Linked DNA regions of Lonchura striata. The protein of the gene in region 2 interacts with the protein of the main gene of each other region in a pairwise test. Links are inferred from orthologs where the notes say so. Each region holds a gene or a part of one and is shown on either strand. Other genes may lie near its edges. The genes, in order: FABP3 and SHTN1.

Evidence for each region.
Region 1: the proteins of SHTN1 (region 2) and FABP3 interact in binary tests that used the Homo sapiens proteins (3 or more experiments, as listed by UniProt). The two-hybrid records come from large-scale screens. The link is inferred for Lonchura striata from reciprocal best matches to the Homo sapiens genes SHTN1 and FABP3.

The regions. Positions count from the first base shown.
Region 1 is NC_134628.1:6,711,045-6,726,520, reverse strand, and holds FABP3 (fatty acid-binding protein, heart), read right to left. Parts: upstream 6,250-15,476; 5' UTR 6,228-6,249; coding exon 6,047-6,227; intron 5,393-6,046; coding exon 5,220-5,392; intron 3,203-5,219; coding exon 3,101-3,202; intron 2,931-3,100; coding exon 2,877-2,930; 3' UTR 2,646-2,876; downstream 1-2,645. Other genes in the region: ZCCHC17 (zinc finger CCHC domain-containing protein 17), read left to right, coding at 1,253-1,417; cAMP-dependent protein kinase inhibitor beta-like, read right to left, coding at 11,496-11,578, 12,108-12,252. UniProt on the Homo sapiens protein: FABPs are thought to play a role in the intracellular transport of long-chain fatty acids and their acyl-CoA esters.
Region 2 is NC_134609.1:26,092,380-26,107,399, reverse strand, and holds the start of SHTN1 (shootin-1), read left to right. Parts: upstream 1-6,707; 5' UTR 6,708-6,788; coding exon 6,789-6,846; intron 6,847-13,525; coding exon 13,526-13,578; intron 13,579-15,020. UniProt on the Homo sapiens protein: Involved in the generation of internal asymmetric signals required for neuronal polarization and neurite outgrowth.

The DNA.
Region 1 (15,476 bases), on a different chromosome or scaffold from region 2:
AGGGGCCCGTTCAGCTGCTTCCCTTCACTTCCCAGAGCCAAGGGGAGGGAACACCTGAGTTTTTGCAGGATGGGGTGTGTCAGGCCCTTGGGAGCTGCTGGCAGCATTCCTGCTCCCCACTGGAAGGGGATACAGGGGATGAGCTCTGGCATCAGTCAGATCCTCTCTCTCCCCAGGCCTGTGCCCTGATTAAATATCCCCAAATTGCCGTGCTGCATCATTAAACACTGCCTGGGGGTGATCCCAGTGCCCCCCAGGCCTGATCTCAGTGTAATCTCTGCCTGCTGCTTTGTCACACACCTCAAGTTGGAGGGTTTAGGTCCATTCCAGAGTCCCTCATGGGCTTTATTCCAACACCAGCTGTTCTCGTGCTGCAGCCGAGGGTCAGTCTGGAGCTCCTGGCTCGGGGCTTTGCAGAAACACAGCGTGGGGCTAGTGCAGGGGGAGAGAGCAGCAGAGGTGCAGGGGAGGCTGGGGAGCAGGAGGGGAGGCTGGAAGAGAAGTTTGGGAGCAGGAGGGCGTTCAAGGAAAACTGGGAATGAGGAGTGTAAGAAGGAATCTTCAGGATGGGGTGCAGAGGAAACTGGGGAGCAGGACAAGGTGCAATGGGAAGATGAGCAGGATGGGGTTCAGGAGAAATTGGGGTGCAGTGGGAAGTTGGGGAGCACAAAGGGGTGCAGAGGAAATTGAGGAGCAGGAAGGGGCACAGAGGAAGTTGGGAAAGAGGAGAGGGTGGTGAAATCTTTAGGGAGGTTGTGCAAAGTGCCACATCTTGCAAGAGGGCACTGACCTCGTCCTGCTGCTCCACTGGGCTCTCCTGCCTGGAGCTGGGAGTGTTTGGGTGCTCCAGTGCTCCTGTCCTGGCAGGCTGGGGGCTGGTGGTGGGCTGGGGCTCCAGGGCTGTTGCTCATGGCTGGTTTAGAAACCGAATTTTTGGGCAAAAAAGCCTCATCCTTCCAACTTTTACTAATAAAGAGCAATGAAATAATGGAATGAGAGCAAGAACTCTCCTTCCATGAATTATCCGGTGTTTTCCAGCCTTGGATTGCCACATTGTTGCCCTCCTGCTCCCATTCCTGCCCTGCTCTGTGCCCTGCCCCTGCAGCTGAGGGCTGGCAGTGGTGATTAACTCCTGCCTCCTGGGGCACCGTGCCCTTTCCATGCAGGAGCAGGCCCAGAAAGGCTCCTGCTGGCCTGGTGAGCACCAGGGAGAGCATTCCCACATTCCCTGGCTTTTCCCATGTTTTCCTAGGAGAAGAAGAAGAGGAAGAAGCACAAGGCCAAGCAGTCCTCGGAGTCGGACTCGGACAGCTCAGCCTCGGACAGTGATGGAGCTCAGCCCTCCAGCAAGAGGCCCAAGCACTCCGGGAAAGCCAGCAAGGCTCCCAAGAAGAAGAAGAAGAAGCACAAGAAGTAGCCCTGGGGTGAGCAGGGCAGGCTGGGCTGCTGCCAGGGCCGTTCCCTGGTGCAGCCAGCAGGATCAGCAGCTCTCTGCTCCAGAGACAAGGACTTTCCTTCTCCAGGTAGCATGTGGTGTTACAGGTGTTGACCTGGCTACGAGCTGTCCCCTGTCAGCTTGGGATGGGGCTGCCCCTTTGTCCCACAGCTGCTGCCAGCACAGGCTGATGACACCCTGCAGGACACCCCTGCTGTGCCACAGCCTGGTGTCAGCTCCTGTGGCAGCTGGGGGACAGCAGCCCTGCAGAGCCAGGCCCACGCCGTGCTGGGGACAGGGTTTGGTGGGACCACAACCCCCTGGCACAGAGCTCTGGGCTGCAAAGCTGCCCCGGCTCCCTCGGTCTCTGCAAACACCAGGAGTGGAGGAGCAAGGAGCAAGTGGGGGAGTGGAGATACTGGGAGTAAACATGGACTGTGGAGTGTTTGCTGCCTTGGAAAGGGATGGAAAATAAATCTCTGCTCTCTCCAGCTGTACTTTGTACCAGCTCCTTTCTTCTCTACCCTCCACACTTCATCTTGGGCAGGGGGAGAACAACGCTGGCTGTGTGCAGGATATGGGAAAGGGTTTTTTTTGGGAAGTTCTGGCTGCTTCCTGAGGTTCCCTGGGGTGGAAAAGGGGGGTGTGTGATGAGGTAACCCGTAAGGAGAAGCCTTCTGGAGGGAGCATAAATCTTGTAACTGGAGCTGAAGGTCAGGGGAAGGGATGGCAGGGGGAAGGTGCCAGGAGCAGCTCGGCCCTGCTGGGACAGATGTGGAGCCGCCCCTGCGGCCTCTGGCTCTGCAGGGAGCTGGCACTGGCAGCTCTTGGTGTGCCAGGAGAGCTGGGACTGCTGATGCAGCCTCCCCTTCTCCTTTTTCCTCCCTGTGCTTCCCGCTCCAGCTCCCCATGGCTGCATCCCCCTTTGGGGCCATTTCCCTTCCCAAATCCGGCACCGAGAGCTCGGCACCTTTGTTCCAGGGGAGCCTGCCCCTCTGGCTGGGGCTGTGGGGCTCCCTCCTGCCCTGGGGAACCGGCCTGGCTGGGAGGGGCATTCCCGGAGAGCACAGCCAGAAGTGATTCTGCAGCGTGGAGAAGAGGCTGGGATGGGCTACTGGGCCCACTGGCCATTAACCCCCTCCCTGCCACCCCTGTGGGTGGGTGGGCATGTGCCAAAAACGCCTTTTCCCGAGAAAACCGAGCACAGAGCTGTAACAACACCTTTATTATTTTTCCATGTGACTTTTCCCACTATCAATTAAAAAAGAACCCAACAACAAACACGAAACCACCACCCGAGGCCCCGGAGCCTCTGCAGGCGGGGGCAGGGGCGGCCCCGCTGGGGCAGCGGCTCCGAGCCCACCGAAGCCGTGCCTGGCACGGGGCCAGGAGGTGGGGACAATGTGGCACCGGGTGACAGGCAGGGGACCTGGGACAGCGTCTATGTCGCCTTCTCGTAGGTGCGGGTGGAGACCACGTTGCCCATGGTGAGAGTCTGGGGGCAGAGAGGTGGCAGGAGTTAGTGCTGCTTTGCCTAGCTCTGAGCTGACCCACTTCAAACCATTTCTGAGGCAGGAGCCTCAGAATAAAACCAGTTCTGAGGTGGGAACATCAGAATAAAACCAGTTCTGAGGTGGGAACGTCAGAATAAAACCAGTTCCTTACCAGAACCAATTTCCCATCCTTCAGCTCTCGGACCAGCGACGTCTCCTTCCCCTCCCACTTCTGCACGTGGATGAGTTTGCCTCCATCCAGTGTGACCAAGGACTGCAGGGAGGGATTCAGAGCCACGGTTACTTTCCGGGTTTCTGGGCTCCGAGGGGGTTTATTCCTCAGAGGGGGCCCTGGAGCCCCGCAGGGCTCGGGATCAGCCTGGGGGTGCCCCTGTGGGGATGCCCACCTGGCACCATCCCCGCCTGGCTGGGTCAGCCGCGCTCAGCCCGCCTGGATCTGCACTGGCTCACGGCCTGGCTGCTCCCCTGTGACCCCAGTGCCACCGGCAGGGTCACCGTGCCCTCCGTGCCCCGGGCCACGTCCCGCTCCGGGGCCACCCGGACCTGGCCCGTTCGCGCTCCCGAGCGCGGCTGGCCGGCTCCGGCGGGGACCAGGCAGGCGGGGCAGCGGTCGGGCTTGGAGCCGAAGCGTCCCTGCCCTGCAGGGCCCGCCGGGGCTCCTTGGAGCGGCTGCTGCGGCAGACGCGCCTGAGCTCGCCGCGCTGCTGTTTGCAGAGCGCCGCTGCTGACTCAGCCCCGGGAGCCGGCCCGTGCCAAGGTTACTGTGACAGCGCCGGCCGCGGCACGCACGGCGGGGTTGTGCCGGGACAGGCGCTGGCACCAGCGCTGGCACCGCCTGCCTGTCCCCATCCTGCCCTGTGCCCCCCACCCAGCCCCTCCGGAGCCAGGGGCTGCCCCAGGGCTTGGGTCTGTCCAGAGCTCAGGTGTGCCCCAGCCCCGCATCCCCACAAGGCTCTGGGTGCGCCCTCAGACCCCGATTACCCCATAGCTGTGTCCCCCCACTGCTCAACTGTCCAAAAGTTTGGGTACTTGCAGGGTGTGGGTGCCCCACAGCCAGAGGGCAGGGATGGATGGAGCACCGGGGAGAAATTCCTCCCTGGGAAGGGGCGAGGCGCTGGCACAGGGTGCCCAGAGCAGCTGTGGCTGCCCCTGGATCCCTGGCAGTGCCCAAGGCCGGGCTGGACAGGGCTGGGAGCAGCCTGGGACCTGGAAGGTGTCCCTGCCATGGCAGGGGCGGCACTGGATGAACTTTAGGGTCCGTTCCAACCCAAACCATTCCAAGCTATCCCGGGTGCCCCACAACTCCCCGCACCCCAAGGCTGACCCCAGTGCCCCATCCCGTCCAGCCCCGTGCCTCGGCAGCCGTCCTGGCCCCGCTGACCCATCACGTGCCCTCTGGCCCGGCCCAGGGACACCCCAAGGGCACGTCCCGGGCCGTGGCAGCAGCTCCGGGCCGGTCACACGTTCCTGCTGCTTGAACAGCTTCCAGCAGCTCCGCGGCAGAGAGGGACCTCACACTCAGCCCCTTCCCCCAGCCTCACTCGAGCCCAACCCTTTGTGCTTCCTGCTCTGGGGCCAGGAAAGGGGTTTGTGGCCGAAGAGCCCCCAGGTTCCTGCTGAGGTGCCCCCCGGGCTGGGTGTGGGGCATAGAGCTGCTCCGTGCAGCTGGAATCTAGGAAAAATCAGGAGCTGGGCCACTCCTTCGAGGGAAAATGTCCCTGCAGGCTGGGAGAGGCCAGGAAAGGCACCGCTCTCTCTCAGGTGATTTTTTTCCCTTGCTCTTACAGAGAGGAGCAGCTTGGTCTGGGAAGTTTTGAGCTCCCCAGGGACCCGCAGCCCTGGGACGAGCCCTTGGAGCGGCACCGAGCAGCTGGGATTGCCCCGGTGCTGCATCCCTGCAGCGCTGCCTGCTTGGGAGGGCAGGCGGAGGGGAGTGGGCTCAAAAAACAGGGGTGGTGCCCCTCTACCCCCGGAGCAGGGACACTTCCCACCACCCCACCACGGCCTCCTCTTGAGCAAGCTGGCACTCGCCAGCCCGGCTCTTGCACAACCTTCCCGGCAGCTCCGTCGTGCCCGGGAGAGCCCCGCTGCACCACGGCTCCGGGGGTGCCCGGCCGGGAGCGGGCTGGAGCAGCAGCCCCGGCGGGCACGGGGCCGCTCCCCTCGCACAGACAGCCAGGATGGAGCCCCGGAGCCCCGGGCTGGCGGGGCGATCCCCCGGAGCCCACAGAGCCTTTCGGGGGTGCCGCGGGGCGGGGCGGGGGGCTCACCTTGACGTGCCTGTCGTCCGCCGTGGTCTCGTCGAACTCCTCGCCCAGCTTGAAGGTGATCTCGGTGTTCTTGAAGGTGCTCTGGGTCTTCACGGTGACCTTGTCGCCGTCCAGCTCGATGATGGTGGTGGGCTTGGTGAAGCCGGCCACCTGCCGCGTGGCGAAGCCCACGCCTGGGGAGCGAGGGGGAGGGCGTGTGGAGGGGCACGAAGCGGCCACCCAGCCCCGGCATCACCCCCGAGCTCTTCCTCCCCGTGCTGGTGGAGGGTGAACCCCAAAACCGCTGCCCGCTCACGGTCCTGGGGGGCTCCGTGCGCCCCCGGGGCAGGAGCAGAGAGGGGGTGCAGGGAGGGATGGATCCGGGAGCAGCCCCTGAGCTGCGTGAGGGGGGGGCTGCTGTCTGTCCCCCATTCCCTGCCCTGGGCTGGGCTGGGGGACTCCCCCGACCATGCTGGAGCTGGCTGATGGGGGGCTTGGGGGCTGGGAAAGGCTGGGGGGTTCCTGAGCGGCCCCCAGCACCCACGGGGGGCATCTCATCCCTCCACCCTCTGCCAAAGGCTGCCCCTGGAGTGGGCACGGGAAGGACGCGACCCTTCACCCCCTCACCAGCCCGAGCCCCCTCACCCTGCCCAGCCCCACGTGCACAAAACCCCAGAGCCCCTCTAAACCACCCACGGAGGCAGCAGCGACTTCTCCACCGCCCACAGAACCCCGTGGGGAGGCAGGGGTTCACCAGGCAAATTGGGGTGGGGGGGTATAGGAAATAAAAAAAGGGGTGAAAAAGAGGTGACGTGACCCCGAATCCGCTCTCAGCCGCGCCCACTCACCCAGCGCTTTCATGTACTCATCGAAATTGTTGGTGTCCACCAGCTTCCAGGTGCCCACGAAGGCGTCGACCATGGCGAGGGGGCGCGGGGGGCCGCAGACGCGCGGGGCTCCGGCCGGCTGCGAGCGTGGCACCGCCTGCAGCTGCTCCGGCCCCGCGGCCGCCTTAAATAATGTCCTCATCACATGATTGGAAAGAGCAGAACGCGCTCCAGAAATACTCCCCGGCAGCGCTGCCAGCGGCCACCCCGGCCCGGCCACCCGCCCCCGGCCACCGCCCCCCGCCCCGGGGCAGGGGTGGGCACAGCGAGAGGGGCACTTGTGCCCTGAGCCGTGCCCGGGCTCTGCGGGGCACGGCGGGGACGGGCTGCGGGGTAGGGGGGCGCTGAGGTGGGCGAGGGGGGTCTGTGCCCAGCCCAGGTGGTCCCGTGGGTGCGTGGGGAGGGGCAGTTGCTGCCCCTGGGCACGGTCAGGGCGTGGGGACAGCGACGGCGGTGATGCCCTTTAGGGACACGAGTGGCGGGGATAGGGGAGCTGAGCTGGGGAAACTGAGGCACGGGGATAGGGGAGCTGAGTTGGGGAAACTGAGGCACTGGAAGCAGGGAGCACCGGGGAGGTGTGTGGGAATACGTGTGGGGACTCCAGGAGAGTGTGGGGACATGTGAGACACCCCCTCAATTCCGCGTGTCTGTGGGGACGCGTGACCCGGTCCCAGCTCGGTGTGCCTGTGTGTGTGGGCACGTGTGTGACCCTGTTCCCTCCCTGTGTGCGTGGGAACACACGCGTGTGCCGCCAGTGGTGCTTCGGGTGCCGGGGGGACGCGGGGGACAAGCACAGACGGGGCTGTGGGACCCCCAGCAGGTGCCCCCATGTCCCCGTGCTTTGGGCTCCAGCGCATCCCCAGCCCCTTCCCGGCGTGGGTGGGTCACCCCTGGCCGTGGGCTCCGGTGTCCCCTGGAGCCCCGGGGACGGTGCCCGCTCCTGCCCCCACCCCGGGCCGCGGAGGGACCCAGCTGGGGGCTCAGGTGTCCCTGAGCCCGGTGCTGCAGCGTGTCCCCTTGCCTTGGGGACTTGGGGGTCACAGGCACCAGGGCCAGGAGGGACCGGGGACACTTTCTCCCTGTCTCTGGCCTCTGTGTGACATCGCAGACACCCAAAAATAGCCAGAGCTCGTGTTCGGCGTCCTCCTGCTGGCACTGCCACCGAGCAGGACCCCTCACCTCGTGCCCTGGGGGCACAGGACTCGTCCCGTGGGATGCGTGTCCCTGTCCCGCCTGGGACACGGGCAGGGCGCTGCTCGCCAGGGTCACAGGGACAAATCATTCCCCAGGGACACAGAGCCCCCACGGCCGGGGGGACACCGAGGGCAAGGACTGTCCTCTGTCCCCTCACCTGGGTGGCAGTGCCCCAGACCCGCACTGTCCTGTCCCCTTTACACAACGGGACCAGGAGATGGGGACATTGACAGGAACAGCTGCCCTGGCACGGGGACACCCCAATATAGGGACACCCGGGCACAGGGACACCCGGGCACAGGGACACCCCAATATAGGGACACCCGGGCACGGGGACACCCACTGACAGCGACACCCGGGCACAGGGACACCCGGGCATAGGGACACCCCAATATAGGGACACCCTGGCACGGGGACACCCCAATATAGGGACACCCGGGCACGGGGATACCCACTGACAGCGACACCCGGGCACGGGGACACCCGGGCACAGGGACACCCCAATATAGGGACACCCGGGCACGGGGACACCCCAATATAGGGACACCTGGGCACAGGGACACCCGGGCACGGGGACACCTGGGAACAGGGACACCCCAGTATAGGGACAGCCATTGACAGGTTCACACACTGACAGGGACACACACACAGATATCCCTGCACATGCACAGACACATGGATGCACACACCCACACAGATGCACACACACAGATATCCCTGCACATGCACAGACACATGGATGCACACACCCACACAGATGCACACACACAGATATCTCTGCACATGCACACACACATGGGTGCACACACCCACACAGATGCACACACACAGATATCTCTGCACATGCACACACACATGGATGCACACACCCACACAGATGCACACACACACAGAGATACTCCTGCACATGCACAGACACACACAGCGATATCTCTACATGTGCACACACACATGGATGCATGCACACACGCACAGATGTGCACACACAGAGAGAGATGCACACACACACAGATGTCCCTGCACACACACACACACACACACACACACACACACACACGCACACACACACACACACACACACAGATGCATGCACAGGAGCTCATGCCCATAAATGCTCATGTAAAGGAGTGTCTGTGACCACGGATGCACACATGCACACATTGATATCCACTGCACGTGTGCACAGACACCCACACAAATGCACACACACACACACACACAGATATCCCTGCACATGCACACAGATGCACACACACAGCAGTGCCCCTGCACGTGTGCATGGATCCCCATGCACACAGATGCCCATGCATATGGATGCAATGCATGCACACACACACGGATGCACACACACACTTGGGTTCACACACATGGATGCACACACACACGGATACACACCCTCATGGATGCACATTCTCACAGGTGCACACACACATGGGTTCACACACATGGATGCACACACACACACGGATACACACCCTCATGGATGCACATTCTCACAGGTGCACACACACATGGGTTCACACACATGTGGGTGTATATGAAGTCCATACACACAGATGCCATGACCATGGATCACCACGCACACGGATATCCATGCACAGAGGTGCATATGCACATGCATGCCCATGGACACCCACATGCACACGGGTCACACTGATGTGCACGTGCACACCGATGCTCCTGCACATCCACACAGATGCCCACACACATGAATTCCCATCATGGGGGTGCCCATGAACACACACATGGGTGCACACACACAGGGGTGCACACACACATGGGCACACACATGGGTGCACACACACATGGATGCATTCACACACACGGATGCATACACACAAGGATGCACACACACATGGATGCACACACACACGGATGCACACACACACACGGATGCACACACACACGGATGCACACACACACGGATGCACACACAGACAGATGCCCCTGTACAAGGACACACATACATAAATGGATGCACACACTTGGATGCACACGCACAGATCACACTAATGGATGCACACATACACGGATGCACAGACACATGGATGCACACACACACACACACACAGATATGTCCCTGCACACACACACACGGATGCACACATATGGATGTGCACACACAGAGATATGTCCCTGCACATGCACACACACATGGATGTACACATACACGGATGCACACACACACACAGATATCCCTGCACACACACACAAGTGGATGCACACACACACGGATGCACACACACACAGATACCCCTGCACACACACACACGGATGCACACACATGGATGCACACACAAACGGATGCACACACACACATACAGATGCACACACACACACAGCTATGTCCCTGCACACACACACAAATGGATGCACGCACACACACACAAATGGTTGCACACACACACGGATGCACACACACACAGATATCCCTGCACACACACACATGGATGCACACACATGGATGCACACACAAACGGATGCACACACACACATACAGATGCACACACACACATAGCTATGTCCCTGCACACACACACAATTGGATGCACACACACATGGATGTGCACACACACGGATGCACATACACACACAGCTATGTCCCTGCACACACACACAAATGGATGCACACACACATGGATGCACACACACACGGATGCACACACACACGGATGCACACACACACATACAGATGCACACACACACAGCTATGTCCCTGCACACACACACAAATGGATGCACACACACACGGATGTGCACACACACATGGGACTCCATGCCCATGAATGCCCATACAAACGAGTGCCCATGAGCACACAGATGCCCCCACACAGCGATGCCCGTGTGTGGGGGTGCCCATGACCCTGCACATGGATGCACACACGCATGGCAGCCCATGACAATGTAAATGAGTGCGCACGCACAGGGATGCCCACGCACAGGGATGCCCACGCACAGGGATGCCCACGCACTCGGGCTCCCATGCCCACGAATGCCCGTGTAAATGGGCGCCCACGCCCGCGGATGCCCGAACACACGGGTACCCACACCAGGGATGCCCCTGCACGTGCCAGCCCTCCCTCCCGTCCAGGACTGCGCTCCACGCGAGGTGCCCGGGAGCCCGATGGTGGCCGTGGGGTGCTGGGGACGGTGGCCCCGCCCGTGGGGCTCTCCTGGTCCGCGGGGGCGGCCAGAGGGGCCCTGGGCTGGGGATGCCTTCGCTGGTCCCACAGCGACAGCTACAGGTGACCGTCCGGGACGGGATGGGATGGAGGGATGGGACGGGATCAATCCAGCTCCATCTCCAACCACCCTGCCCGGCTCCGGCCAGCGACCCCCAGAGCCGGCAGAGGAGTCCTCCAGTGCCCGGGCAGGAGGGTCCCATCCCGCCCTCTGGCAGAAGCAGAGGGTTTGGGGAGCACGGAAAGCCGCACTCTGTGTCCCCCGCATCCCCAAAGGCCGCAGGACCCGGCTGGCCCCGCCCGGGGCTGCGGGAGAGGATCCGGCGTGGGGACAGTGGGTGACCTGGCTCGGGGGGCTGGGGCTGCTCCAAACAGCATCGCCCTGCTCCCCACCCCCAAACTCACCGGCACCCCATCCCCGGGAGTGGGGACCACGCTGGGGTGCCCTGCTCCCCAGTGGGATCCCTCAGAGACCTGCTGGCAACCCGGGAGCTTTACCTAAGGGCTGGGGGGGTCTCGGGTTGTGTTTCCCCACCTCACCCCCCAAAAACTGGGAGTGGCTCCTGAGTCACCCAGAAGAAAGGTCAGGAGACGAGGTGGTACCCAAAAACATCACAGTGAACACCACACTCAGCAAGAAACACCCGTGGCTGCTCCTGCGGCCAGGAGGGCCCCCCCGGGACCCCCCCCGCGCTCGGCTCCGCCAAATGCCCCAGAAGAAAAATATTCCTCCCCCCGGGGAGGCCAAAACACCCCCTCCCCCCGAGTCCTGGCCCAGGGCGTGGGTGGGAGTCGCCCCTTGGTCACGGCAGGTCCCCTCCGTGTCCCCTCCGCGTCCCCGCCACGCGCGGCTCCCCCATGGCCGGGGGAGCTCCAGGGCCTCGCTGCGGCAGCACCGAGGGGATCCCGGCGGGCTCCGGCGGTGCCAGGAAAGCCGGGCCGGTGCCCCGCGGGCTCCGGCGGTGCCAGGAAAGCCGGGCTGGTGCCCCGCCGCCTCCTCCTTCCTCCGCCGCTCAGCCGTGTCCCCGGCGGGGTTAGGACGTGTCCTTCAGCTCGGGGCTGGGCGGCTGCGGGGAGGGCACCTCCGCTGAGGGCGACTGCATGTCCTGGGCACTGCCTGCCGGGAGAGACGGGAGAGGGCCACGGGATGGGAATCACACAATCATGGAGGCTGGAAAAGTGCTCCGAGAGCATCGAGTCAACCCTGTGCCCGATAACCCCTTGTCCTCAGCCCAGTGACCAGGGATGGGCACTCCAAACCTCCCTGGGCAGTTCCAATGCCTGACCACCCTTTCCATAGAGAAATGTCCCCCCATATCCAACCTGGACCTTCCATGGCCGTTCCCTCTCCTCCTGTCCCTGTTCCTGGAGCAGAGCCCGACCCCCCGGCTGTCCCCTCCTGTCAGGAGCTGTGAGAGCCACAAGGTCCCCCTGAGCCTCCTTTTCTCCAGGCTGAGCCCCTTCCCAGCTCCCTCAGGGATTCTCCAGCCCCTTCCCAGCTCCCTCAGCCTCTCCTGGGGCTCCAGCTCTGTTCCCTTCCCTGGACACGGTCCAGCCCCTCAGTGTCCTTGTCCCTAAGAACGGGATGAACTCGGGAACCCCGGTCCCGGCTCACCCCACATCCCCCCCATCCCCTGGTCACCCACCTGCGCTCAGGGACATCTCGGCCAGTTTGAGGGGCAGGTCGGCGGGGCTGACGCCGGCAGGCGAGCCCAGGATGTCGGGCAGGGCATTGCGCCGGCCCGTCCTGCTGGAGGATGCGAAGTCCAGCACGGGTTCCACCTCGGTCATGCTAACCCTGGGGAGAGATGTCCCCTCTGTCACCCCCGGAGCACAGCGAGCTAAAGGGAGCCGGCTCTGCTCCGGGCCGGGTGCTCCGGTGCCCTCTGCTCCCCCCTGCACTGCCTCTGCCCGACGGGAATGGAGGCAGGGCCACCCTGCTGCCCCGGACCCCGCTGGTCACTGCAGCTGGAGCGAGGCGCTCCCAGGTCCCACTCCCCCAGCCCGGGCAGCCTTACCGGGCAGCCTCCAGCCTGGCCTGGCACCGCCTCTGCCCCGTGCCCGGGGGAGGGACACCGCGGGGGACAGGGATCCGTCCTGGCTGCGGCCCCTCGGCTCTGACCTGCGGGAGGCAGAGCAGGGGTCACCAATGGGGCCGGGGGACACGGAGCAGGGAGCGAGTCTGGGGGGAAACCAGAATGTGTCCCCAGGGGAGCACCCACAGCACCCTGAGCCTCGTCCGTGGGGGTGGGTGGGGATGGAGGGATGGATGGATGGATGATGGATGGATGGATGGATGGATGATGGATGGATGGATGATGGATGGATGATGGATGGAAGATGGATGGATGGAAGATGGATGGATGGATGATGGATGGATGGATGATGGATGGATGATGGATGGATGATGGATGGATGGATGATGGATGGGTGGATGGATGGATGGATGGATGGATGGATGGATGATGGATGGATGGATGGATGATGGACAGATGGATGGATGGATGGATGGATGGATGGATGGATGGATGGATGATGGATGGATGGATGAATGGATGGATGATGGATGGAAGATGGAAGGATGGATGGATGATGGATGGATGGATGGATGGACGGATGGATGATGGACGGATGGATGATGGACGGATGGATGATGGATGGGGATGCAGAGGTAAAATGGAGGGAGGCCGAGCCAGCACTGCCAGGGAACTTCATGGAGTCCCCAACCTGGGGACAGCCTGTCTCCCTTGGAGAACGGCTCTTGCTGAGCCAGGCAGGCAGCAGCAATGGTGGCGTGCCCTGGGTGGGTGGGGGCACTCCTGGGAAGCCTCAAGAACCAGGAAAATCCAACTGCCATGGAGCCATGTAGTTTCCCGTGCTGCTGTGACCTTCTCGAGGTGTTTGCTCAGCTCTGGAAACACTCTGAGCTTTTGCCATGGGAGGTGGGAGTGGCACAGGGGTGGGGGATGGCACAGGGGTGGCACAAGGGTGACAAAGGGGTGGCACAGAGGTGGCACATGACTTGGCAAGGACAAGGAACCCCCCCCCACCATCCCCTCCACCCCCCTCAGAGCACAGGGACCCCAGACCACCACCCCAGCAGCCCCATCCCCTCCGTGCCACATGTTGGTGGAAGCACTGGGACTGCTGTCCCCAAGCTGGTAGCAGTGGGGGGTGAACTCACTGGTGGTCCGCTGGGAATTCCTGCTGGCAGCTAGTTCTGGGAGTCACTGGGAGTCACTGGGAGTCACTGGGAATCCCCGCTGGGAGTCACTGGGAGTCACTGGGGGTCACTGGGAGTCACTGGGAATCCCGCTGGGAGTCACTGCAGGGAGGATGAGCCGAGGTCCTTGGGTGCAGGCTCTGTGTGCACGGGAGGGGTGGCCACAGCTGCGGGGAGGGGGAGAAAGAAATGATTAACCCGGGAGGTGATTAGTGATTTGTTAATTAGTGATCAGTGCTGGGGTGGCTGTGCCATGAGGGGCAGGACCGGGGTGCTGCTCAGGGGGGAAACTGAGGCACGGGCCGGGCTGGCAGTGACAAAGGCAGGGGTGGGGACAAAGGTTCCCTGTACACCTGCGCGGCCATTGTCCGCAGGAGCCACCTGCACTGCTCCAGCACAGGCGTGTGCATTGTCACACGTGTGTGCATTGTCACACGTCTGTGCATTGTCACAGGCGTGTTCATTGGCACAGGCGTGTGCATTGTCACAGGCGTGTGCATTGTCACAGGCATGTGCATTGTTGTATGTGTGTGCATTGTCACAGGTGTGTGCATTGTCACACGTGTGTGCATTGTCACACGTGTGTGCATTGTCACAGGCATGTGCATTGTCATATGTGTGTGCATTGTCACACGTGTGTGCATTGTCACAGGCGTGTGCATTGTCATAGGTGTGTGCATTGTCACAGGCGTGTGCATTGTCACACGTGTGTGCATTGTCACACGTGTGTGCATTGTCACAGGCGTGTGCATTGGCACAGGCATGTGCATTGTCACAGGCGTGTGCATTGTCACAGGCATGTGCATTGTTGTATGTGTGTGCATTGTCACAGGCGTGTGCATTGTCACACGTGTGTGCATTGTCACAGGCATGTGCATTGTTGTATGTGTGTGCATTGTCACAGGCGTGTGCATTGTCATAGGTGTGTGCATTGTCACAGGCGTGTGCATTGTCACAGGTGTGTGCGTGTACATTATCACAGGTGTGTGAAGAATTGTCACATGTGTGTGCATTGTCATGTGTGTGTGCAGTATCACAGGTGTGTATAGTGTGACATGTGTGTGAATTTTCACAGGTATGTGCAGTGTCACATGTGTGCTGTGTCACAGGTATGAATTGTCACAGGTGTGTGCATTGTCACAGGTGTGCAGTGTCACAGGTGTGTGCATTGTCACAGGTGTGTGCATTGTCAAAGGTGTGCAGTGTCACAGGTGTGTGCAGTGTCACGTGTGTGTGAATTGTCACGAGTGTGAATTGTCACATGTGTGTGAATTGTCACGTGTGTTTGCATTGTCACAGGCGTGCAGTGTCACAGGTTTGTGCAGTGTCACGTATGTGTGAATTGTCACATGTGTGTGAATTGTCACGTGTGTTCGCATTGTCACAGGTGTGTGTGTATATGTGTGTCACCTCTGGCTGGGCTGTTCCATGTGGCTGTACAGGTGTGTGCATGTGTGACATTCCCCGTCACCTGTGTGCATGTGTGGCACCCCATGACACACTGTGGCACCCCCTGACATGTCTGTGTGACAGTGTGGCACTCCTTGTCACACATCTGTGCATGTGTGGCACTCCCTGGCAGTCTGTGCCCGTGTGACACCCCTTGCCACACTATGTCTGTCACTGTGTCTGCACACGTGGAACTCCCTGTCACACCTATGTGACAGTGTGGCACTCTTTGTCACACCTATGTGCATGTGAGGCACCCTTTGTCACACATCTGTGCATGTGTGGCACTCCTTGTCACACATCTGTGCATGTGTGGCACCCTTTGTCACACATCTGTGCATGT
Region 2 (15,020 bases):
CATGGGTTCCAAGAGCAAGGAGTTCTTTTAAATTTTAACATTTTGGGTCAAGTCTAGTACCAGCAAAACTCCACTGAGAGCAGGTTTTTTTTCTCCTTCCTGAGCAGCCTTTTATAAGCTTCTCAGAATTTCTAGTTCAAGGTTCATTACAGAATTTCTTCATCTCTTTTTATAGCACAACCAGGAGCAGTGGTTTTGTCAGCTGTAGGAGCTGGCCTGTGGCACTGCAAATCAGCAAAATCAAATGTTGCAAAGGATGTATTTGTCTGATACCTGATGATGTAGAGTTGGGCAAGTGGCAGAAAGTTTGTGGGGTGTTTTTATGGAAATAAATTTGCTTACTCCTTGGTTCCTTTACTTCTGCATTGTTGAAGGACTTCCAGAAATGCTGGTTAAGCTGGTGAGAATCCTTATGGGCAACTTGGAGATTTTTCCCTAAATTCCTACAAAGAATCCAATTTTCTGCTGACATGAACTGATAGAGTTCCACGGCACACAATAACGCCATGGTGATTTTTATCAGCAAAATACCTGGCATAATTATCTTAGTGTAATAAGTGTGGTCAAGTGGTGCAATGTAATCCAACACCAGCTAAAGAATGCATGTGACAGCTTTGTTTTGCAAGAAGGGAGTAGAAAGGCTTGCTGGAAGGAGAGCCCAAATGCCTTTTAATTCAGGGAACTAGCATCTGACCCTAATTATGTGGAAAAATGGAGGTAGTGCAAGCACCAGAAAAGGGACAATTCTGCAACAGGAACAAAAGCATCAACTGCTGTTGAGATGTATGCAAAGTTCAACTGAGAGGGAGAGAGAGACAGACAAAGTGGCTCCAGTTGCACATAAATACTAGATGGAAAGTGTGTTGAGGAAGCAGGGCAATGGGTTATTTTTCATAAGCTGCAAAATTGCTTAATAAAAGTGAAATGACTTGCCCTTTCTGTAGAAATTAATTATGATGGCAACTTTGCAGATCAGCATAATAAAGATGTAGTCAAAATAACAGTGGCATTGAATTCAAAAGCTATGCATAATGAGTGGTCTTTTAAGATGCTTATGATCAGTACCAAATGACCTTGACTGTTGTATAGTAATGTATTTAAGTTCCTAACTAGCTGATTTTATTATTTAGTTTGACATTATGTTAGTTATTTATTAAAGAAATAGCACTGCAAGCTCCAGGAATAACTTACTAAGGAATAAGTTTTTGTATTCAGTGACACTTCATCAGCTTGCAGTGTGCTGTTTCCCTAAGATTTCTCCCATCACAAACATCAGCCCACACCAAAATCAAATTATGTCCATGTTTCACCATGAAATTATGAGCATAGAGATATCTGATCCTGTATGGCTAAAGTTGTTGTGGTTTTTTTGGTGTTTTTTTTTTTTTTTTGTTTTTGGTTTTTTTTTTTTTTTTAATAGATCATCCCTTCCTCCTGGGGAAAAAAAGAAAAGGAACATTTTTGCTATTGTCATTCACCATCACATAACACCTAGTGATTTAAAGATTCCTATATAACCTCTCTTATTCTTTGCTCTGGCAGCCCAGTTATCCAAATTGCTGCAGAACAAAGCAAAGAACCCCAGAGGAACTCATAAAAGCCACTGCAACAACAACCTCCCCAGTGAGACTGGTGCAACAGGGTCCCCCACTTTGGGAAAGGGGTCTGAAAAGTGACTCAATTTCTACCTCTCCAAAAGCATGGTATTTGCCTCTGACAGGCTGGAAGCATGGGAGATCTCACTAGTGAGCTATTTGTTATCTCTAAGTGTGTGTCCATGCAGGTGCTGGCAGATGTTCACACCTCTCCCATCTGTGCTTGAAGGTAGAGGATGCACCCATTACAACCAAATTGTATGAGGTGAGCATCCATAAAATACAATGAACTGCTGGGAAGGGTAAGTAGATTTAATTTGCCTAGTTATAGTTTACAGTTGTAAATTTAATATCCAGGATTGTCAATTATGGTACAATTAGAGTATTTATAAATGCCATGATAAATACTTAATCTTCCTCTGATTTATCTCCCAATCAATTTGTGCCTTTTTGCTGTGCAGAGACAAACATGTTTGCCATCCTAGATGGAGACGACTAGCAAAGATCATGCTAGTGTCTCTAATCAAATGGTTAAAGTTTTTCAAATGAATCTGTATTATCTGAGGGTTTTTATCTTTAATCATACTTATACTCCAGTTTGAATGTGTGCTGATTAGTTAGTTTCTGTCCTAGGGAGACAAGAAGTGCTTATATTTACCCTGATATATTATGCTGGCCATTATTCAGCACTGATTGGTTTGATGGAAAAATATACATTACCTCAGCAAGACAAGCTGCTTAGTCTTATTCATCCTGTTAATTAGATGCTCAAATAGCTACTGCCATTTCTACTTTTTTTTTCCGGTTTATTGATAGTCGTTGATCTGTGCAGTGATTATGTAGTTTGTTTTATCTTGTCCCCCCACTCCTCATAAAATCTGTCTGTTCTGAAAGTAGTAAACATATGGCTGTGGTCGTGCCCTGAGGGTATGCTCAGCCTGCAGTCACAGCTCTTTCCACCAGGTAGCTCTGCTCAACAGGAGGGTGATGAACCTCAGGAGTCACTTCAGGCTTTGCAGGGGCTGATGGACTGCACTGCTTCCCAAGGGAATGCCTTTCTCTCCCAGCCAGAGGGGCCCACTGCTCCCTTCCTTGCTCTTTGTCGTTGCAGATATTGAGGCTTTATTTATGAGGGAGAGGTAAAGCTGATTTGGTATCCATTAGAAGGTCTGAGGAAATTTTATCCCAAAATGAGGAATGGGAATATGCATATTTTAGATAGATAGATAGATAGATAGATAGATAGATAGATAGATAGACAGATAGATAGATAACAACCACATCAAATTCCTGACTGTTGTATCTATTTGATAGGGTAACAAAATCTTTACTTCTGTATGCCCATTTATTTTATAGATAAAGTTCACATTTACTGTCTCTAGGTAGTCCCAGGACAAAATTGTTCGTACACATAATAATTGTTTTAAATTTTATTATTCAGAATTTTGAATTTCAAAAACTCTATGATGTTATGAATTCTTAGGTCTTCACTCTAAATCCCATTAATTTAGGACTTATGTGACTAATGAACTGCAACGTACTCCAGGTTGTCATTAATATTTTCAAGTCCATCATCTGACTACTCATCAAAGTCTCATTCAAGAGATGAACCATGAAAAAAGTTGAAAAAATTATCTGCAAGAAGGTACAAGAGCCTGAGTTGCACACACCTGTTGGGTACTGATCATTTGCATCAAGTTCAAGCATTAGTCAGAATAACAGGAGGGGTCCAACATCTCACTAAGATCTATCCAAAGTAAGACAAAGTTAGAACTTCCAGTATTTTTTGTTTTCTTTCTTCTTCTTTTTTTTTTTTTTCTGTAATTATCCTTCTTCATATGATTAGTGGCTACTGTGTAGTTGAGAACAGCAGACAGATTCTCATTCATTGCAACTATGAGCTGGTGAAATCTAGAGGTATGATGAATCCATCTGAATTTTGGTCTCCCAAAGAACATAGATTATTAGTAATATAGTTAACTTTTCAGCTATCCCCTAACTTAGAAAAATATTAGCAACAATTGGCTAATATTATTATTACTACTACTACTATAGTAATAATAAATAATACTACTGCAGTGACAGCCATCCTACTCCTGCAATCAGCATGGTCTGAAACAAGGAGATCCTTGTTTTTAATGCTGACTTTTCAAGGCATTGTAACTGGATGTAAATATAAGTGAATATAAACAAAAAGAAAAATTATGAAACCCTAATATAGAAATTATGGAAGTGAATCCTTTTGATGTGGACATATTACTTTAACTTGAGTAAATAAATAAAATAATGGAAGAGTGGACTTGCAGCCTTTGCAGATATCAAAGGGATTTTATGCCCTGTTCTGACTGCATGCAACAGACAGAACATTGTTGGAGGATGAAAATGTCTGGTGCCTTGGCACCGGGCAGGGATAAGCAACCCTACAATGACTCTTTTGCAAATCCTGCTATTACACTGCATAAAGGAAATTGGTTTGGAAATGAAAGGGAATGATATCAGCAGAGGGAAGAGGGACTTGGAAGGAGACCTGTGGCTGAAGGGAAGCCAAAAAGGCAGCCCAAGAAAGGACACTAAAAAGTAAAACACTGGCAAAACTGCTCTGACTTAAAGTGGGGGCTATTCAAAATCAAGGTCATCCCAGAACTCCAAGGACCTAAATAGGACCTCTGTGTTCCTTCAAATGGAGGCATTTATTGATGTGTGTCTTTATTTGTAGCTTTTACGTTCAGCTTCTGGTTACAGACACATTCTGGTTGACTCTTTTCCACTAGGCTGAAAAGCCCTCAAATATTGAAACTGCCAAAACCAAATAATTTGTTTCCTTTTTGCTCAATTAAAAAGATCAAGGGTTTGAGGTCTCTCGTTGCAAAGCACTCCCCTCAGACCTTGGGTAATATTTTTTCTCTTGTGCTTTCTCCTTAAATTTTTTGTACCAAATTAATTAATTTTATAATTTTTTTCTTTTTTTTTTTTGTTTTTGAAGACCTGGATACCAAAAATTTATTTTGGTCCTGTCAGTGTTACAGAAGAAACTTTTTACCCTGCTGTCAGCATACCCCCATTCTTTTGCAGCAGTAACTTTCCAACAGCACTTACATCATTGCTTGCACTTTGCCTCCCACTTCCTATGCAGAGCCTTCGTTTTCCAAGGTCATTTCCCATTCTTTGCATATGACTCGGAGCACAAATTCATAACCTTGCATTTAATACAGTTAAAGGTGTTTTGTGCTGACTAATTCAAAATAAGCTGACTTATTTTTTTATAAACTTGCCTCTTTTGCCTTACAGGAGGCATACCATGCTTCTGAGACATCAGCACAGCTCACATGGTTCTTATGGCTTCTCTCCAGGATGTTACACGTGTCATTAACTACCTGTGGGACAGAAAGTGCTGTAAATCATCCATATGGAGTCTCTCCATGTTTTAAAGGCTTACTAGAAAAAAATGGGGAAACTAGAGGATACTGTACGGGAGGAAGGAGGCAGGAGGACCGAGCAACTGTTTGTAGTAGGGTCTTTTGCCTTTCACTCTGATATTTCTAACTAATGTTGCCACATCTGTGTGCTCTGACCTGCCTGCCACAGGGGTTGATGAGTGTTTGCAAAGAAGGAGGGAGGGAGGGAGGCATATGAAGTGTACCTTTGCCCATGCCAGTCTGGAGATAGCTGCTGCTCAGCTGACTGCTGCTGGAGCTCAGCAAAATATATAAACAGAGACAAACTCTGCATTGCACTTACTGTCAGCCTTGGTGTAAGCTGGGTAGGGTAACAATTTCAATACAGAGATTATCACTGGATCTCCTCCTTTTTCAGAAAGGGATCATCAGAGAATAGCAGTGTGTTCTTCTGAGGTGAGCACAGCAGGTCTCTGTCAAAGCCCTCTGCCCTGATGTTCTACCAAAGTTTTCTTCAAGTGCTGGGCACTGGAATGCAGCTGTTTTCCCATGGATTCTTACAAACACTAATGCAAAAAGCTTCCGGGGGTTTTTAAAACCCTTTTAGCTTTCTTTGTATCAAGGCACTCAAACAACCATTTAATGTCCCACCACTCTCCGGGTCAGGGCTCCTCAGTGGAAAGCTGTGCTATTCTAGCTGTGCAAAAGGGCACATTAAAAATGCAGCAACACAGCAGCAGCTGGGTGGGAGTGGAGCAGGAGGGCTTAATCCCAGCTCATGGGGGACTGATGCTGTAGGAGACCTTGCCTGGGGTCTGCAGCAGGACCTGGACAGGCTGGATCGATGGGCCGAGAGCAACAGCACGAGGCTCAGCAAGGCCAAGGGCAGCGCTGCACTTGGGCCACACCAGCCCTGCTGGGGTAAAACGCTGCGGAGGGCGGCTGGCAAGCGGCCCAGGGGAATGGACCTGGCCGTGCTGCAGCCAAGAAGGCGTCCTGGTCTGCCAGGGAGCAGGGCAGCAGGCCCAGGGAAGTGATGCTTGCCCTGTTCTCGGCACTGGTCAGGCCACACCGTAAGCACTGTGTCTAATTCCGAGCCCCCCGATTCAGGAAGGACATTGAGGTGACGGAGCAAATCCACGGAAGGGCAACGAACTACTGGAGGGTCAGGAGCACATGTCCCATGAGGAGAAGTTGAGGGAGCAGGGGTATTCAGCCAGGGGGATGCTCCAGGGAGACCTTCTCACTCTACATTTCCCTGAAAAGAGGTTGGAGCCAGATGGGGGTCAGGTTCTGCTCCCAGGAAACCAGTGACAGGAGAAGGGGGCACAGTCTTAAGGCAGGGGAGGTGTAGGTTGGACATTAGAAAGAATTTCTTCACAGAAGGGGTCGTTAGACATTGGAATGGGCTGCCCAGGGATGTGGTGGAGTCACCATCCCTGGAGGCGTCCAAAGAAAGCCTGAACGTGGCGCCTGGTGGCACGGATGCGCTGGGTCACAGGCTGCGCTGGGTGACCTCAGGAGCCCGTTCCAGCCGAGCGGCTCCGGGGCTCCCCGCGCAGCCGGGACGCCGCTCCCGGCGCGTCCCGCCCGGCGGAGCGGCCGGGCCGGGCCGCCGTGCCCGCACCCGCACATGCTCACTGGGGCGCCGCGGGAGTCTGGGCATGTGCAGAGCGGAGCGGGCCGGGCCGCTCGCCGCGCCCGCCGCGCCCCGGGGCCGCGGCCGCCGCCGCCCGCCCGCTGCCAGGTGAAGCCGCGCTCGCCGGGGCGGAGCGCAGCGCGGCAGCGGCGGGGCAGGATGAACAGCTCCGACGAGGAGAAGCAGCTGGAGCTCCTCGCCAGCCTGAAGGACCAAGGTAGGGGCGGGCGGCGCCGCCTCCGGCGCTGGAGAAAGCGGCTCCCCCCGCTCCGCCGCGGGCCCGGGCTCGGCCGGCGGAGCGCGGCCGCCGCGGGGCGAGGGCTCCGCGCCCACCGGGGGGACGGGGCGCGGCGCGGCGGGCGCGGCCTGGGCGTCCCCGACCCCGCTGCCAGGCCCCTTGTCCTGCCCGTGCAGAGGGAGATAATAAAAGCCTTAATGGAATAAAGCAGGGCAGCGGAACGTGTTGGCTCTTCCCCAGGTGGGCGCCGCCGCGGCCGCCTGGCCGCCCCGCAGGTGCCCGCTGTGGCTGCAGATGGGCTGGTCCCGGTGATCTCCGAGGGATTTTCCAGCACGGCTGCTGGAGCGGCGCTGCCAGCGCGGCCGTCGCGGGGGCCGATGGCGGTGGCGGTGCCGCACATGGGCCGTGGGCGCGGGGAGCCCCGAGCCCGCGGGACCGGACAGCTCCAGGGCTGGCAGGCTGTCCGCCTCGCTGTCCGTCCGAGCAGCTCGGCCTGACCTGGAGCTGGGCCAGGCCGTGCCGAGCCTGTCAGCCTGTCCCATCTCCCGCTCCGTGCTGCAGGGTCCGATCCTGGCCCGACCGTCCACGTCCTGCGGTCCCAGTCGCCATCAGCGGGCAAACTTCCCGCTGATGGCTCAGGGCTGTGCTGATACGCTCTCGGTTTCTGTGGCATCCTGGGCTGCTTTGGTTCGTGTGTGAGTCACTTTCGGTGCTTTAGTAGGAAAGGCCAGAATTTCAGCATGTTCCGTTTCAGGAGTGCATAGTCTGACTCAGAAACCAGAGCACTGTAATATTTAATCCTCTGCAAGAATGCACATGGAAAAGAGCTGGGGTGCTCATAAGCCACTCTGAACTCCCCTGTGGTCAGTCTGCCTCTCAGCCAGGTTGACCCAGCAAAGCTGCAGCCTTAGTTAGTCAGGTGGGCACATTCAAATGTTTGAAGATCTGTTTGAATTGTGAACATCTTCCGTGCACCAAGCAGTCCGTGTTGCCTCCTGTGCCACAGCTGCATGTGCAGGAGGTGTGAAGGAGCCACGCTGGAATTCACATGTGGCAGTTCCCACAGCTGAGCTTTCCTCATCTCCCTCGAGCCAGGGAGGGGCAATTTGGAAAGGAACTATTGGGCAAAGTTGTGTAAAAGAGTGAAATTACAGGGGTGTGATCAGTGCCCATTTTTCTGTCATTCATTCTGACCAAAAATGTGCTCCATCACTTTTGCTGTACAGCAGAAGCTTTTCCTAACCGCGTTTCATTTGAGTATTAATGGACTATTTATGACCTGCTTTGTCACTTTTTGGGTTTTTCCTGTACGCTCAGCTTAGGAAATTCCTGATTACTATTGACACAAGATAGATTCTCCTTTGGAAGGATGCATTAGGTGTAAAATGATAATCTTACAGCTGAGCGTTTTGGGAATCTGAAACTAAGGCTCAAAATCTGGTTCTCATACTGACTGACTGCTTCCCTCTAGTACTGTTGCCTCCAAGAGAGCATTTGTTAAAATGACAATGACCAGTTGCAAAAAAGAGAAGCTTGTGTTATTCTTTAGAGAAAACTGAGCCTGTTGAAATTGTTTAGAGCAGGGCTTCAGTTCTGCTTTCTGAAAGTCTTCTCCTCCAATGTGCTGGGTATCCTTTAATGTCTAAGGAAATTTTACTGGACTAGAGGAATTAGTGCAAAGGAAAGTTACTGTAACTTGAGGACTGGCTGTCCCAGATCACCTGAGCTGTTGAAATAGAAGCTGTACTTGGCAGACCCAGTCCTATAAGGCTCTGTTCTTGGTGGATGCTCATCCTTAAACACAGGAGTTTTAGTGAGGTGTTGTTAGGCTAACATATGCTTTTGTGATGCTGTGGCTGGTGAGAAAGTTGTTTTATGTAGGCAAAAAGTTACCTAGTAGAAAAAAATTAAAATACTTTTCTGTTTTACATCTAAAACTATGCAAAAAAATATGGTAGCGCAAATCAGTAGTTGACTGAGTCTGATTCCTAGAGTGAAAAACTCAAGCAGTGAAAAGGTAATGAGATAAATGAAATTATTCTAATTGTAAAATAAAAGATATTGTTACTGTAGATAAGTAAATTTGCTAACTCTTTATGTACTGTAATTTGGAATAGTGTCCCCTCCATTCTTATTGATAGCAAAACAAGGCTATTTTAGATACTACCAACTTCCCTCAGGTTATTTTAGGATGGTCTGTTGAACATAGACTCTTAATTTTCTTGTTTATTGCTTCCAAATGCAGATATCAGTATTTGCTTGGAAATAAATGCAGTTGGTGGAAGGATCTGCTGGATCTGAATATCTGGGGTAATGGCTACACAGACTCGTCCTATCTTTATTTTTTCAGAGTGGTGTAAGTCTTCAGGTTTTTGTAACATTCTGATGTGTAGTCAGATTTCTGCAAAATGCAAATGGGTTTGGAAAGGTTTCAGAAGACATTCATTCAGTAGCTGTTGGCTTGGTTTCTTTTTCAGGATATGCTTTTTTAGTCTTGTGAGGGTTGCCTGGCACCAGGTAAATGCAGTGTCTGAGAAGTGGTGCCGTAGGTGGGGTAGCAGCGTCTGTGGCTGGCTGCTGTCACATTCCAACTGCTGTTTTTACCTCTCCTCACCAAGGTCGGGAGACTGAACCTGAGGCAGGTGTTTTGTAGCTGCCCACTCAATTCTCAGTGGCAGCTGTGAAGCTCTCTGGGGCTTGGGCAAAGCTGCTTGGCTGTTTGGCAAAGCTCTGAGCAGCAAAAAGGACACTGAAGCCATCTGTGTGCAAGATACTCTTATCTTTCACCCATGCTGAATTTTCCAAGTCCTGTGTGTTAGACTCAGATACCTGATACTGATCATTCTTCAGCTTGCTCCATTACTGAGTTTAAGGTGAGCATCATGAAGAAACAAGATCTCTGTATTGATGGTATTTTGGACTTAAAAGTGTTGTTTGAGTTTTAATCCTCAAATAGTTTTCTGAAATGTCATGGTTTAATAAAGCTGTCTCTCTATAAATATTACTATTGCCTCACTGTATTTTAAGTGATGTTTCCAGTGATGCACACTTCTATTCAACTGGCCCTTATATTCCTATGGCTAAAAAAAGAAAAAAAAAAGCAAATTGGTAAAACTTTGTATTATTAGTGGTTGGTTTTAGAACCTGAGGAATGGTAGCAAACTTGACTAACAGCTGAATCATAACAATAGTTGATTACCTGTCTGGAAGATTGCCTTGTTTGTCTTTGGTTTTATTGGTACTGCTGGTACCTTGCCCTTAAAGACAGAGTCAGCTTCTGCAATAGTCCCTTTTTTGTTCAGCTGAAAACAGGAGCCAGTGGTCAAAGTGTCTGGAGTTATAAACTAAGTAAAATTACACTTCAGCACTGCCACTGTCATAGCCACATTTCTGGTCACTTTGCTAAAGTACAGTGGTTAACAATTGCTGCTAACCACACATATACTAAAAGTATTTATATTGCCTGGATTTTTCCCTTCATTTTTGAAAGGTCTAACTTTGCTCTGTGTTTGTTGGCTGGATTTGATGAAGTGCGATGATTTCCAATCTCTAGTCCTAAGCACTATGCGTCTGTATACTTTTTTTTAAATTATGATCTATTTGATCACTAAAAACTTTTTCTTATACTGTCAGCACCTTTCAATAAGGGAACATCTTATACATGTATCTTCTTAGGAACAGACTAGCCTGCCAACCTGACAGCAATATCTCAGAGCAGTACCTTTTAAATGTATGCTATTGACAAGCTCCTAATGTGGTCTGACAAATTCAATCTACTTTGTGGCAGATGGTTAATTTTTATGGCCAGTGGAATTTCTTAGGACTCCTTCTTGGCTGCTGTCTTCCCTTCTATAGTCACCTGCTCTATAATTTATTTGTTCCCTGTGTACCTGTGTGTATATCTTAATACACAGCAGCCATTATTCCCAAGCAGAACCCATCCTGCTTGAATGTATTAGAGGTCAGATGTTTTTCCCACTTCAGTTTCTTGTATTGAACCCTATTTTTTTTTCAGAAACTTGTGAAGGGAAATCTTTCGGTGTGAACTTAGTAGTTGGTCTTTATCAGGCAGTGGTGTGTTTAGTTTTCCTGCCCTGTTTTTTCAAGGAAGCTCTAAGACTTGATGCAAATTCAGGGTTTAATTCAATTTACTTGTACACACTTTCACAGATTTTAATAAAATTAAGGCATATGGGAACACAGATGCAGGAGCTGACTTACAGTGTTTGTACCTAACACTTATCTTTGCGTACTTACCCAGGTGATTTTTATTTATTTTTTAAAGGACTGTAAGATAATTTAGCTGTGCTGGTTTCAGCAAATGCAACTGATACCTGACCAAAGCTTGGTTTGCCCATGTAAGCTTTAGGCCTGATAATAGGTTTGTGTACTGTGTGTGAAGATTTGGAGTCATTGTAAGGTGCTGAGTGTAATGCTGTCCCATAGATTCCCCTTAACAGAAGGAGGGATTAAAAGTGCCACCCAAGGCATTATTTGAAAATAATTGCAGTATTTGAAAATAGTTTGTACCTGGCTGGTGCTGCTGGTGCCTTGCTGAATCCTGTTGAAATACTGATAAGTTGGATTTAGCAGAAGAGACCTTTGAGCCTAGAATGGTGAACAAGGGAAAAAATGACCCCTTTTGGCTTTTTTTTATCCTTTTAACAGCACTTCACAGTCTTGTGCATGTTGTACATGTAGGAGGCCACTGTTGTTCAAGATTTTTCACAGCATTCTTGGCTTGATTCTTCCTATTTCAGGTATATTGGGAGGAGCAATGTGGTGGCAGCAATTCCATTAAATCTTCTGGTGCTGACAGGGGTAATTCTGTCTCTAATGATACATCCAAAAAGCCAGGTGATAATTTACTTCTACCAACAAAATATGACTTAATTGGGCTAGCTTGTTTCATCTGGAGCAGAGGACTTCTTGCACTGTCAGCTCTTTCTCCTGCCTGTACCAGTAAAGACATGCCTGGTCCATGGTATGGAAGCAAAAACAGTGGAGTGACACTTGCTTCCTTGGGCAGCTCTACTTATTTTTTTTAGTAAATAAGTAGATTTTAAATCCTGAAGTGGCATTACTTACTGATTTGGCATGGAATGGCTCTCAGTTGACTCTCAATTGGCTGCCCTGGTTTGCAATATAAATATTGAAGTATATGCATGTAACATTTTTAAAGTTTGGTGTTTTTTTCTTTGATTTGTGTTTTTTAATATGCAGCTTTAGGAAAGGGGTTGATTAATTTTTTAATAAAAAGAGTAGGAAGAGTCATCATCTCACTCTGTGTAAATGAAGGTGTCTTTCCTGTTGTTCATTGTGAATTATAATCATGATATACTTCTACCCTTATGGCCCTGTTTTAGTAATAAGTCCTATTCAGCCATAGCAAGTACCTAATATATAAAACATCTAATTTAGGTAATACTTACGTTTTGTTAGTAAATTCAGGTTCAGGAGACACAGGTCCACAACTGAAAATCAAAATTTATAATTAAAGGACCTTCTGCATACAAAGTTACCTGCTTAATTTAATGCTGGTTAAGGGCATTGATATGTTTCCAGACAGTCCCTTCTGGCCAGCTGAGCTGGGGAGTGAGTAGCTGGTGAGTAAGTGAGACCACTGTTGTGAAGGAACATGCTGTGTTCACTCATGTTGGCTGTTTTGGGGTTTTACTCTTTTACTGTAAGAAAGAGCAGGGTTGGCTGAGAATACATTTTGGGTAGGTTAAGAGCTATAGCCCAGAATATTCTGTTATTTTCTCCTTCAGGGCTAATGAGTCAGAGTTCTCTGTTCATGAGGCATATGAAGAGAGCTGTCGAGGGTGGAGCAAATCTGTATTTACATTTTTCAGTTATTTGTAAAGTACAGAATGTCAAGAATAACTTTGCCTTAAAGGCGAGCTAACACGAGCAGTTTTCAAGTGTGAAGAAACTTGAATTACATCTGTTGGTACAGTTTTCATTCCTGTTCTTGCATCTGGATGGTAGAAGTCTCTTCTCATATTTTCTTTAGGGGAACAGGGAATAGCTTGGCAGTGGAGCAGTGACCTCTTAAGAGGCACAGCCTTTGTGCTCCTTTGTAGGAAGTACATTATTTCACCACTGTTTTTTCTTGTTTGTTCATCTACCTGTTGGTTTTTTGTTGGTTTTTTTACTTTTTCTGCTTCTTGGGTGTGGGTGGTGGGTAGGAATTTTGGGTACATAAGAAGTGGGGACAAAGTAAAGGGATTGATGGGAGACCTTGGTTTTACTGGTGTACGGATCAGCTACTCTGCAGGTACCCATATATCACACCAACCATTCTTTCTAGGATAGATCTGTAACCTGAGCCAGTCTGGGTTTAAAATGGTCACTGCAAACCAGCCTATTCACCTTGTAATTTTTGAACTCATTCAATAAGGTTGTTTAGCTCTACATTGATCAGTAATTGATTGTTTTGGGAGCTACCACCTTTTTCAGACACTTCCTAATTGCTTCAATTTTAGGAGGCTATCCAGTTCATAGGATATTAATAGGCTATTAATGAAGTTTATGATCCATGTTATTTAAGAAATCTGCATAGAGAAACAAGAGTTTTCAATTTAATCAAATGGAGAGCTAATTTGGGGAGAGGTACTGCTATATTAACTTTTTTACTTTTTTTCCCCTTGTGTAGCTATTGGCGAATATGAAGAGCTTAGAGCAGAAAATAAGAAAACAAAGGAAGAGGTTTGTATGAATCAATTATAAATTTAATACTAAAATGCTAAGTACCAGAATACCTTGTGGACTGTGGCAGATTGTTGACTGCTTTTTTGAGTTCACTGTTACTTAATATTAATATTACTTGTACCTATGTGTTTTATGGAGCAATGAATGCAACTCTCACAACTATTCTGGCTGTCCCACTCTAGAAAAGTTCCTGTAAATATATTATAAGTGATTGCTGCTTTACCAGGTTTGCCCGTGATAACAGTGGGAGCATAGACCAAGTCACGTGTTCTGATAAAATTGTTTCTCTTTGATGTAAGCCTTGTTTTATTATGACTTCATTTGCACATGGGACTTAATTACTGGAAAGAAAGAAAAGACAACAACTTCCCTCAGCTTCTGAATATTCATAATGTAGGAGTATGATTTCTGAAGGTAGGGAGGAATGCAGGGGAGTCAGTGCTACACTGTATTGTAAGCAAAATTCTCCTTTCTCCAGTACGAGTGAGCTGAAGATGTAAGAAATCTGTTAGTTTTTAAATCCCTGTTAGCTGCCAAGACATGTAGATTTAATTCAGCTCCTTCTGAAATAATTTTGGAATGGCCATTTTTAGTTACAAATGTTTCAATTCAAGGCTGTATTGAGAAGACCTTGTCCTTAACTCTTTTCTTATTGTTGAAGAAAATTTGATACTTATGTTTACGTATGCTTCAGCAAAGATTATGTGTATTTCTACTGAGGTCAGCATATTGTGCTTCATTCCTTCCTATCCTCTGACCTCCTTGTCCTTTTCACTTTGGTTGTTGCTGCATTCCTGTTCTGCTATCCTTCACCAGCATCCCAGATATCCCAGGAAATCTGTCCTCTCTCTCTTTGCTGTTTGGAAGAAATGCTCAGAAGAAAATGAGAATAAAACTGGCTTAGACCAAGACTCCATCCAGCCCAGAATGCAGTGTCTGACAGCAGAAAGGGAGGCGTGTGGGAGCATGTTTTACACCTGGGCAGGTTTCTCTTGCAGCCTCCAAACCATTTGCAGCCTGGGAGTGGTTTCAGCATCCTGCCCTGCTCTATTCCTTTAGTTTTTCCCATGCTGGCTGTTGGCTTCTGTCACATGTAGGGAGTGCCATGCCAGGACATGTGTACATCCCATGAAAAACAGGCTCCCCAGCTTTGCCCTGAACCCAAGTCATACCAGCTTTGGTGTTTCTTCAGCAAAGCTTTGTTTAGCTTGGGAAGGGGAGGAATGGGGAGACTTCCCTTGAGCTACATTTTTATTTAATTTTTTTTTCCTTCAATGGGAATGTCAATGAAAAATTTTATTTTTGAAATTGAGATGGAATGAGATGTTCTGAGGTTGTTTTTTCCATTCTGCTCTTCTTGCCTCCTTGCTCCTCTTTCTTACAAGGCTTCTTTCCTACAGCTACATATATATAACTACTCTTGTGTATTTCACCTGGAG